Lonchura striata: one gene and its partners. The protein of the gene in region 2 purifies or fractionates together with the protein of the main gene of each other region. This does not show direct contact. Links are inferred from orthologs where the notes say so. Each region holds a gene or a part of one and is shown on either strand. Other genes may lie near its edges. The genes, in order: PSMA2, CUL1 and FBXL18.

Region 1 (3,746 bases), about 2.9 Mb from region 2:
ACTTCTTGTATGAATATGCATCTAAACAGTAATCAAACAAAATGTTTTAATACCTGTAATCTGGACCCATACCACTGTACACTAAACCTATATGTTTGGTAATTGGTTCTACTTTGTGGACGCTCCTTTCATCATACAGAATGGATTTCTGCTTCTTCTCAGTTGCCAACACCACTCCATTTGCAGCTAGAAAAGAACAAAAAATTTCTTTAAAAATTAAACTAAAATTAGCAGTCAAAACATAGAATGAGCTTATTAAACTAAAAAACTTCTTCCTCTCTCTTTAAAAAACATTAAAGCTTACAATTAGATTAAAGAGAGATACTTTGATGAATACATAGTTTCTTTTTTAAAATGAACATACAGCTCCCATAATCCCATTCTCAAGATTCTGTGCAACATTAATTATTGAGCAATCTAACTAGCTTTTTTTGTGTGTGTGTTATTTCTATATAAAAGGACAGGAACACTCAAAAAAGCCCCAAAACCAAACACCTATTTCTACCAGCTGAATGTCTCCAAAATCACCCAAAAAAAGAACCCCAGGAAGCATAAAATTTAGTAAAGCATGTGAAAATCCACTGAAAGAGTAACAAAACATGTGACAGAAAGAAAGATAAATAAGGATCCAATACAAGAGACCCGTTACACGATCCAAACTGCTTTAGTTCTCCCAAAAAATAGACAGAATCCCAAATCCATCAGTATTTTCAGGACATACCTTTAATCCCAACTGATGGAGCTCCTGCAGCTACTGCAGCCAAAGCATATTCAATCTGAACAAGCTTTCCAGAAGGACTAGAAAGGAAGATGCAAAATAAAGTTTTCCATTCAGTGGGAAAAATCTTCAGGGTGTGTCATGACTTTCTATTGAAATTACATTGTATATGTGGTTTCCAAGAGCTTTCGAGACACTGATGTTCACTGCTGAAAGGAACCAGCAAAACACAGCTATGCTTTTTGACTGACAAGCAAGACAGCACAACTCCCATTCCATTCCCGGATAATTCTGCATTTTGTTTTAATGATCCACCTTATCCTGGCAAAGGATGCAGGATCATCAGAATGGAGCTGCAGGTGTCATGCAAAGTAAGTTACAAAGTATAACTTATTCAGAAAAGGGGGATGGAGGGGTCCATTCTCCATCCCTACTAAAAAGGACACCAGAGACAAGCACTCACTGGACAAGTGGTTTTGCATGTGATCTGTTCTCTAGGCTGTATTTCAGACACTGCTGCTCTAATAGTTGCAGATGTAAAATGGGATATTATGTAACTCAGTGTTTAGATGAAGAAAACCAAGCAGTAATCAATCAGTGTAGTCACTTATACACTGAGGAAACGGGGTGTAAGGGTAACAAAGTAGTAATTCTGGCTTTTCCACTACAAACTATAACAAATCAGAACAATCATTCCAAGCACATAGTGCTTCTGTAAAATACAAAAAGTTTGTGACTCCCTTAGGAAATAGTTTCTGAAAGCTAATAAAGAATTCAATCTACTTGAGCAAAGCAAGCATGTTTGGCTGCTTCCATCCACTAAGAACATTCTTTTCATCATTTTAGGTTTCGAACTGCTTCATTTGCTCAACTGCAACAAGCCTTTAGCAATCCCTTTTGCAGTTACACAACATAACTCTCCACTGAGATTAAAGGGACACTTCACCACAACAGCGTAAAGGTTCTTATGGCTAGTTTTTCTTTTTTCTATATGCAACATAGGTCTGAATACTTTAATAATTCCAAAATATGAATGGAAGATAATTTCCTTTATGCTGAATTAATCTTCAGTCTAGGTATTAAAGCAACACCCAACAAAGACTACTCCAATAGCACATTCACTCTGTGCATGCCATCATTCCACACTCAGACCGTGCAAAACACCAAGTGCAAGGAGAGCAGCCATGCCAAGTGTAGCAGGAAGGAACACAAACTATTTTAAAACTCATCTGCTTCACTCATTCCCACATCTGAAGCAAGCTCTCAGGACAGCACAGCTCAGCTGTCATCACACATTTCCAGTTAGCTCAGAATCATAGAATTATTCCCCAGCCTATACTGCGTGTGTGTGGTGCCCCCGAGTTTGCTAAGCCAAGCACTCGCTGACAGGCACCAGCAGTGTTGAGACAGACCTTAATGTGGTCCTACAGCAGCGGAGACACAAGCGGCGCCCGCACTGGGGGCCGAGGTCAGCGACAGACACCAGAGGGACCCGCCCCGCGGCCCTTCAGGAAGCCTCTGGGCAGCTGCGTGTCCCCCTCGGGCGCCTGAGCCCCGCCGCTCTCCCCACGCCCGTCACTCCTGCCCAGGTCGAGCCCCCGCTGCCCCCCAGCGCTCGCAGGCCCGATGACTCTGCAAAGCGCCCCCTCGGTCCTGCTTCGCCGCCGCCAGCAGGCCGCTCCGCTCAGTCTGCGCGCCGTTCTCCCGCTGGCCCGGCAGCCCGCCCGCCTCTGCCCGCGAGCCCACAGCCGTCCCTGCCCCCGCACCTGAAGGTGGTGAGGGAGAAGCTGTAGCCGCGCTCCGCCATTTCGGCACCAGCCCCTGCGCTCCCCGCGCCGCCTCCTCGGCGCAGGCGCGAACGCCTCTCCCGCTCCCAGCGCGAGGGCACAGCGAGCGCGCTGATTGGCGGGGTGGCGGCCTCTGCCTGAGCGCGCCGGGATGCGGTTGGCGGAGGCGCGCCGTGAGGCAGGCTGGGTGTTTGAGTCCCCCACCGCCCTCCACCGCCCCGCCTTCCTGGTAGCGACAGCAGTGCTGGGACTTGGAGTCCTGCTCCTGCCTCCCCGCAATGTCGTGGCCGGCTAGGGGCACTCGGTTTCCCAGAAGGCTCAGGAACAGGATCGCCTCCCCCGTGAGCTCGGCGGGGCTGTGCGGGCTCATGGCGGTGCTGGTCCTGGTCCGCTCTCCGCTGCCGCGGCTTCGCGCTCTGCTCCAGCGCTGCTGGGAGCGGCTGGAGCGCGGCCTCTGGCCGGGTGTCTTCGGGGGCCAAAGCCCACCCTGGGGTAGGTTCCGGCCCCTTCTCTGCCCAGCTGAAGGAACGCGTTCCTGTGTCACCTGTCTTGGGAAGGGTTTGGAGTAGATGATCTCAGAGGTCCCTCCCAGCGCCATTGTTTCTGTGATTCTGTGGGAGGGCGACGTCGCGGCCGAGGGACTCGTTTTACCCCTGAAGGGCGGAGGGCGGGGGAGCGCTGGGGTCAGTGAGGGAGCGGGGCGGGAGCGCCGCTCTGGCCTTGCTTCAGGGGTGATGGCAGCACCGGTGCTCGGCTGTAAGGAATTTCTATCTCAGAATCACAGATGATGCTGAGCTGGGATGGACACACAAGGATCATCAAGTCCAGCTCAGCCCTGCACAGGACAGCCTCATTAGTCACACCATGTGCCTGAGAGCATTGTGCAAACACTTCCTGAATTCTATCAGGCTTGGAGCTGTGACCACTTCCCTGGGGAACTTTTTCCAGTGCCCAAACACCCTCCGGGGGAAGAAGTTTTTCCTAATGTCTGATCTAAACCTCCCTTAACTCAGCTTCATGCCACACTCTTGAGTCCTGTCACCACAGAGATCAGTGCCTGCCCCTCTCCTTCCCCTCATGAGGAAGTTGTAGACTGTGAGGGGGTCTCCTCTCAATCTTCTCCAGGCTGAACAGATGAAATAACCTCAGCTGCTTCTTGTATGACTTCCCCTCCAGGCCCTTCACCATCTGTGTGGCCCTTCTTTGAATGCTCTATAAGAGCTTTATATCCTTCTTATGTT
Region 2 (3,746 bases):
TTCTCATGGTTTGAGCAATGGGCCCAAGTTTTAAGGCCAGTTCAAAGCAGCGTACAAAGGAGCAAGGTGGAAGAAGAATCATTTTGCTAAACCACCACCGCTACTTTGTCAGCTAAGGAGTAAAACACATATGCCTAATTTAGGTGCCCAAACTAAGACTATATTTCTATAAGATCCCTGGCTAAGCAATGGAAAGTTTCCTCCAGAGACGCTATTAACACAAGGCACTGAACCGGGATTCTATAGTTAGGTGTATGAATTAATCCCGAGATCAAATGTGCTCACCATGCCTCCACAGGGCAAGTGTGTCCAGTGCTGAAACTGCACCTCAAACATGTGGTCATGAGATGGCTGTGAAATGTAACCAATCTTAAGAACCAAACCAACTAAGACAGACACAAAATAAGAAGTTGGACAATAAATACTAAAAACAAGAAGTTACAAAGCAGATGGAGAAGGCTTCTTTCTGGTCAAGTCACCATCAGAAACTCAAAGTGCCGATGCCACACAGACATGTAATCATCAACACACGACATTACAGCAGTTCATTGTGAGTAAAAACTACGTACCATGGTACCTGTACAGTATCTTGCTACTTCCCCAAAGAGGAGGTATCCCAAATACACTCCACACCAATTAAGTACCAATTCACAATATGGTATTACAAACATTATTTAGCCTAATTCAAGCTATGTAGCCACCACATATTTCTGGCTTCCATGGACGATTCTTCCCAGTCCTCCCAAAAGGATTTCCAATAGAGATTTTTTTCTCCCCGAGTAGCATCAGGGCATGTGTCTGTATTAGGGCTGAGGTAAGTGATTATATATGAACACATATACCAAGGGAAAAGTTGCTAAAGAAGACAGTAAAAAATCAAAACAAAATAAGGTAAACCAAGTAATTAATCTCTGTCCTTTCAGTGTTTAATGCTATGCCAGCTGAAACCAGAACACAAGTATTCAGATAACCTAGGGTAAAATTCCCTTCTCCTCAAAGGCATAGATAGAGCATTTAAATACAAAGTGAGGGAGACAGTATATGAATCTACAGAGGAAAGGAGTATGTGCAAAGAAAAGAGTATTAGGTGAGATCACAAGGAAGGCTTTAATGACAGGAAAGTAAGATCAGAAGGGCAAAAAAGCATGAAGAAGGAAACGGTTACTGGGCAGAAGAAAACTGGAAGGGGAAAGGTAACAGAGGGGTAATGACAGTGCTGGAATATAACTTCAAGAGGAAACAAGAAGGATGAGGAAAGGACCCCAATCAGGACACACTTAGCTTGCAGTGGCAAAGTTACTGGGAAACAAATGAGCTGGTTATTTGAAACAAAAAATGCAAGATAGTCATCTGGATAGAGACAATAAGTACACAGACAAACAAAGGGTTACGGGGCACCTACAACAGTAGGTGGCAACAAGGGGAAACCCGGCGCACAGTCCTTGAGAGCAAGAGAAACCTAGAGAAGTTGACCAAGATGAACTGTGGCAAAGATCCCCCAGCCACGATGGTACGTGAGAGCACTAGGGAATGTCTCCAGGTACAACCAAATAGCTCCTAGACAGACCTGAGTATCACCAGGGCTATGGGGATTGGTGGGATGAACAGGGTGAAAGGAAGCAGCACAGGAAAGGACAGGGAGGACAGAGAGCAGGTGAACTCCCCAAAACAGTGCCCGGTGAGGTTACGGACAAAAGCTCGCAGGGAGAAAAGAGGGGAGAGGCGTGGGAGGAGCAGGGCCTGGGATGGCTGGGGTGGGCAGTCCCGGGGCCGACTGGGGCACAGCGAGGGCTGCGGGAGGACGGGCCCGAGAGCCGCCGGGGCGGGACGGAAAGGCTGGGGCAGGCACCGAGGCGCCCTAGCCATGCGGGGGCCGCGGTCACGGGGGAAGGCCGGGGTGGGAGGGAGGGAGCGGGCAGCCCCGCGGTGGTCGGGCAGCTCCTGCGGGGCCGGGGCGGCCAGCGGGGCGCTCCCGCACCCCGCCGGGGGCGATGCGTGCTGAGTGCGCAGCTCGCGGCCTCCCCGCTCCGGCCCGGCCCGCGGCTCCGGGGCCGGATCCACGAGCGGCCCGGGCGGCCACCGCCGCCGCCCCCGCGCTCCCGGGCCGGCAGCGCCCCCGGGAGAAGAAAGGCGGGCGGGCGGGCCGGGCCCGACCGCCCCTTCCCCCGGTCCCCGCGGCGTGACTCAGTGCCGGGCCCCGCGCCGCCGCCTTCGCGTCCTGCCGGGCCGGGCCGGGCCGGGCCAGGCCTCGCTGCGACACAACGCCGCGGCCTCCCTGCACTCACCAGCATCGCGCGTCCCGCAGAGTCAGGGCCACGTCCGCCCGCCCCTTCCGCCTCCGCCGGGCCCGGATCCGCCGCCGCCACCTCCCCCCGGCGCGGCCCGGGGATCGCGGAGGCGCCGCCCCTCGCAGCCGCCCCGCCCCGGCTCACGGCGGGCGGGGAAGCGGGGCTGCGGCTGCCCGCGCCGGCAGGGCCCGGCGGGGCAGGGCCCGGCGGGGCCGGGCCTCGGCCTGCGGCGGAGCCCGCCCGCCGTCAGCCGCTCGGCGGGGGAGGCCGGCCCGCCGCCATCCCCTTGGCAGCCGGGCCGGCCCTGCCCTGCCCTGCCCTGCCCGAGGGGTCGGTGCTCCGACCCTCCCCAGGTTAGTCCGGTGCCAGAAGAGCTGAAGGATGAGCTGAAAGACTTGGGAGTGACGATTGATGAAAAAGTCAACATGAGCCGGCAAGTGTACGCTCGCAAGCCAAAAAGTCAATTGAACTTGGGCTGCATCAAAAGCAGCTCTGGGGTCAGCAGGGCGAGGGAGGTAATTCTGCCCCTCTGCTCGTCTCTGGTTAGACCCCAGCTGGAACGCTGTGTGCAGTTCTGGTGTCCCCAACATAAGAAGAACATGCAGCTGTTGGAGTTAGCCAAAAGGAGGCCTCGAAGGTGATAAAAGGACTGGAACACCTCCCCCATGAACACAGGCTGAGAAAGCTGTGGCTGTTCAGTCTGGAGAAGAGAAGGTTGTGTGGCTGCAGCTTTCCAGTATCTGAAGAATCCTAGAGGGAAACTGGAGAGGAGCTCTTTGTCAGGAACTGTAGTGATAAGACACAGGGTAGTAGGTACAAATTCAACAAAGGGAATTTTAAGTTAGATATTTGGAAGAAGTTCTTTACTGTGTGGGTGGTGAGGTGCTGGAACAAGGGAATAAATTGTCCAGGGAGGTCGTGGATGCCCCAGCCCTGGCAGTGTTTAACTAAGTGTCCTTGCACACGGCAGGGGGTGTTGGGACTAGATGATCTTTAAGGTCCATTCCAAAACCTTAACATTCTGTGATTCCATGTGTTTCAGGATTACATCATTAGACATGATAAGACTTTCCTCCATCCATGGCTAAAGAGCTGCTTCTGTATTTATGAGAAAGACAGGTTTCCAAAGTGTCCTGGACAGTGAATGGCACCACACCAAGTCTGGGAGCACGAATGGATGGTACAGCTGTGAGTTAACAGTGTATCTTTGTCAAGCAAGTGTTAAACCAAACTGTGAAGCTTCTCTGAGCTCCTGATGTGAATAACATCAGGAATCATTGCCTCTAAGTGCATGAACATTGCCTTGAAAACTGATTAAATGTGGCTTTTGTAAGAGCTTAGAAATCTTCCTGTAATTGTAAGTTTCAGAGTAGTAACAAGACAACTTGAAAACAACACTGCAGAGAGAAGAAGAGGGTAGAAATTGAAAGAAATTTACATTGTTCAACTGTGAGTTGC
Region 3 (3,746 bases), on a different chromosome or scaffold from region 2:
GCCCAGAGCCTGTGAGAATATTTGGCAGCTGTGCTAAGGTGAGGCTCTGCAGGTAAGTCAATTGGCTAATGGCAGCCACCTCTGAATCCCTCACGCTCTGTGCCCGGACACAGGGAGGCAACGAGTTCCGAATTGCTGGCTCGTTGCGGGGCATGGCAGAGGAGAAACTGGACCCAATTATCTCCAAGGTTCCCAAAAATCGGAGGCTTCCCATCAGAGCCCAAAACACTGAAGACTCCATCTTCTGATTTGCCTGGTCCCCTAAGTTCCTTGGATATGTCTGTATCCCAATCCGAACTTTCCTTCCAAATGTTTGGGGCACCAAATTAGGTGTGCTGGGAGGCTTCTCCACGCTTGCACCAACATCTGTGATGGAGCAAACTGGTAGTGCTAATGAGAGCAGGTGCTTTAGCCTGGACAGGAGCTGGCACAGGTGGTTCCCTATGCTTTCAGAGCTGTGATGGTGAGCTGCAGAGAGGTTCAGGTGTCTCAGGTTGCAGCAAGACACTACCAAGCTTTCTAAAATGCTGCTGTCAATGTCATCTTCTGCTTTCCGAAACAAGGACTCCGGGGCCAGGCAGTGAACGCAACCACTGAGATTCAAACTGGTCAGGCTTTTAAGATCCTTCCCGCCATTAATGACCCTCTGGATCAGGTGCCCACCAGATAAGGTGCATCGGCTAAAGCTGAAGTAGAAAGGGTTGTTGAACTTCAAGTGTTGCAGGAGCCCAGAGCCATTAATCCAGGCTTTGGGCAGTTGTAAAGCATCCAGACGTACATTTCGGGCCATGGAGTCCAGGAGGTTTTTGGTGGCTCCCGTCTCCGCAAAGCTGCCGGGGGCAGAGATGAGGAAGGCGTGGAGGTTCTCAGGTGTCCGATCACTCAGCACTGCCAAGTACAGCCTCACCACCTCCTGATTGACGTAGCCAGGAGCCAGCCTGGCGTAGAAGATGCGGAGGTTCTGGTAATGGGGCACGTTGCTCTCGCCCACCATCAGCTGCCCAGAGAGCATAAACCCCTCGCGCGAGCGATCGAGGATCTCGAAGTAGAGCAGCAGTTTCTCAAGGCTGGTGCAGCACGGGACGACCCCGTACGAGGGCGTGTAGAGGGTTTGCTTCAGCTCCGAGACGCGGCTGAGGGTGGCTTTGCACTCGCTGCTCAGCTGGCTGGCATCAAACCCCGGGTTGACGTCGATGGCCAGGGAGCGCAGGTGCTGCAGCGTGGAGAGCATCTTGGAGAGCCGCAGAGAGGTGACGTGGCACCCGGACAGGTTCAGCTTCACCAGGTTCTTGCACCGTGTTACGTGGTCGATAGTGGAGCTGGGCAGCCAGTAGCACCCGGCCATGTTCAGCTGGTAGATCTCCTTTCCAATGTCCCTCATCAGCTGCTTCACTTTGTCTTTGTTTACCTGCATCCAAACAAAACCACGTTCAGTGAGAGATACAGCAGTGGTGACTCAGTTTCCCAGCTGGAGATGGAGAGAAGAGTGGCTGGTACTTTTCATCCAGAAGTCTGGGGAGGGCAGCACAGCCTAAGAATTACCACACTGCTGGCAGCTCAGTTTGCCATGCTTTGGACTCTTAAGATTTACACTTCCTTTTGCTTCTGCAGTTCTGCATTACAGACTGTTCAGCAGCTGACAGTGGAAAGGAAAACCACCTCAATTTTCTACCAGCAAAACTATTTTGGCAGAACTGCCTATGTGCAGAAACTCAAATTGAAAGAAGAATGTTTCCATTCTTCTTCATTCAGTTTCCTCTTTTGGAAATGAGCACAGGGGGCTTTCCCCTGCCTGCACTAGCTGATACAGTTCTTATTGAATATATCACCCTTCCTTCCCAAGCTTTATTTTTGTTATAACATGCACACAATTTCTGGCTTTGCTGACTGCATACCTGACAGCAACATGCACAAGATTTTTTTGCACAACAACAGGGAAAACATAATTTGGGAAAATAGTAACTTTAAGGTCACATTTACTTTCATTTTAGCTTCCAGAAATATGGAGAAGTTAAGTTTTCACTGACAGTATTTTATAAAACTAAGGAAGCACAGAGCTGTTTCAACAAAGCATACTGGAAAATAAATGCTTTTATACAACAGCTTACTGTGTATTTGATTTCAGAGCTCAGGAGCAGTCTATTTATGTATAAACATTGGAAAGTTCTACTTCTTGGTATTGTTTTTCAGAAGTATGATTTGTCTTCACAGCTAACAGAAGAAACTACTCTCCCCACCTTATAGTCCTTCTGAAGCAGGACTGTATGTGTTAGACTCTTGTCAAGGCAAAGCGTTGCAAGTTTCCTGCAGGTTCTCCTGACATTGAGGATCAGGTCTGTGCAAGGGACATAGCTGAGGATGTGCAGAAGGATCTCATCTGAGAACTCCATCAAGTTGACTCCATTGCTTTCCTCCTCGCTCTCCTCACTTACGACCTCCTAGTAGGAAAAAAAAAAAAAAAAAAAAAGAGGAAAAATAAAAGGAGAATATGGAGGTAGTGCAAAATTTCACACGAAATCATGGCACTTTCACTCGGTCTCTCACTGTTGGCTAACATTTGCATTCATTGTACTTACTTCGCAACTGGAAAAGCGACTGTCCATGATCCTTTCCTAAATGTATCACAGCAATCTCCCTCTACATCCTTCCTCCAAGCGCCACCCGTTTCAATAACCTTTAGAGTTACATAACCGTGCATATATACATATATATACGGCTATATATATCTGCTTACACATACAGAAACACACCAACACTGCAGCCCAACATCACCCCACCTCTTGTGCAACACCCCCGCGCCTTAACGGCGACACCGGAGCGCAAACCGGCACTAACGCCAGGGCAGCCGCGGAGGGGCAGCGGGGCTGCTGCACCTCACAGCCCCCGGATCACCCGCCGAGGGCGATCCCGGCGCTCCGGCCCCGCCGCCGAGCGCTCTGCCTGCCCCCGAGCCCGGCTGCCCGCCCTGAGGGCTCCGGGCTCCCGCAGCCCCGCGCCCGCCGCTGTTACCGGCGCCCCGAGGGGCCGCTGCGGAGGGGAAGCGGGCGCCGAGCTCAGCCCCACAAGCCCCGACTCACCTCTCCGCAGCGCAACATGGCGGCAGCCGCGCGGTCCCGCCGCGGCCACCACCGCCGCCTCGCCGGGCCCCGCTGGCAGCGGCCGCGTCCCGGGCTCGCTCCCGCCGGCCCGGCCGCCTCACGGCTCTTCCGGCGCGGCCATGACCCGGTTCCGCGGCAGCGCCCGCCCCGCGCCGCCATCTTGAGCGCGGCGCGGCCGCCCCCCGCCGCCATCTTGAGGGCGGCGGCGCCGCCATGGAGGGAGCGGCGGGTCCGCGGAGTGAGAGAGCGCTCACGGTGGAAAAGAAATCTGAGCTCGTCCAGTCTAATCTTTGACCGAACGCCACCGTGTCGCTTAGTGTCATGTCCAGACTTTCCATAAACGCCTCCAGGGACAGTGACTCCACCACCCACCTGGGCACCCCCTTCTAGTATCTGACAAACCTTCCTGTGCAGAAATGCTTCCTGATGTCCATCCCGACCCTCCTCTGGCACAGTTTAACACCATTTCCTCTCATCCTGCCCACTGCTCCCTGGGAGCAGAGCCCGACCCCCATCTCGCTGGAGCCTCCTGTCAGGGAGTTGTGCAGGGCAAGAAAGTGCCCCTGAGCCTCCTTTTCTCCAGGCTGAGCCCCCGCCAGCTTCCTCGGCTGATCCTGGCGCTCAAGACCCTTCCTCGGCTGATCCTGG

The links.
Region 1: the proteins of CUL1 (region 2) and PSMA2 purify together in Homo sapiens (affinity purification with mass spectrometry; 3 studies listed by BioGRID and IntAct, with this or other methods). This does not show direct contact. The link is inferred for Lonchura striata from reciprocal best matches to the Homo sapiens genes CUL1 and PSMA2.
Region 3: the proteins of CUL1 (region 2) and FBXL18 purify together in Homo sapiens (affinity purification with mass spectrometry; 3 studies listed by BioGRID and IntAct, with this or other methods). This does not show direct contact. The link is inferred for Lonchura striata from reciprocal best matches to the Homo sapiens genes CUL1 and FBXL18.

The regions. Positions count from the first base shown.
Region 1 is NC_134603.1:104,635,054-104,638,799, forward strand, and holds the start of PSMA2 (proteasome subunit alpha type-2), read right to left. Parts: upstream 2,603-3,746; 5' UTR 2,526-2,602; coding exon 2,485-2,525; intron 799-2,484; coding exon 722-798; intron 187-721; coding exon 54-186; intron 1-53. Other genes in the region: MRPL32 (large ribosomal subunit protein bL32m), read left to right, coding at 2,874-2,997.
Region 2 is NC_134603.1:107,528,931-107,532,676, reverse strand, and holds the start of CUL1 (cullin-1), read right to left. Parts: upstream 2,412-3,746; 5' UTR 2,286-2,411; intron 849-2,285; exon of another isoform or gene 1-848. UniProt on the Homo sapiens protein: Core component of multiple cullin-RING-based SCF (SKP1-CUL1-F-box protein) E3 ubiquitin-protein ligase complexes, which mediate the ubiquitination of proteins involved in cell cycle progression, signal transduction and transcription.
Region 3 is NC_134618.1:14,661,455-14,665,200, forward strand, and holds the start of FBXL18 (F-box/LRR-repeat protein 18), read right to left. Parts: upstream 2,785-3,746; 5' UTR 2,604-2,784; coding exon 2,577-2,603; intron 2,439-2,576; coding exon 2,238-2,438; intron 1,409-2,237; coding exon 1-1,408. UniProt on the Homo sapiens protein: Substrate-recognition component of the SCF (SKP1-CUL1-F-box protein)-type E3 ubiquitin ligase complex.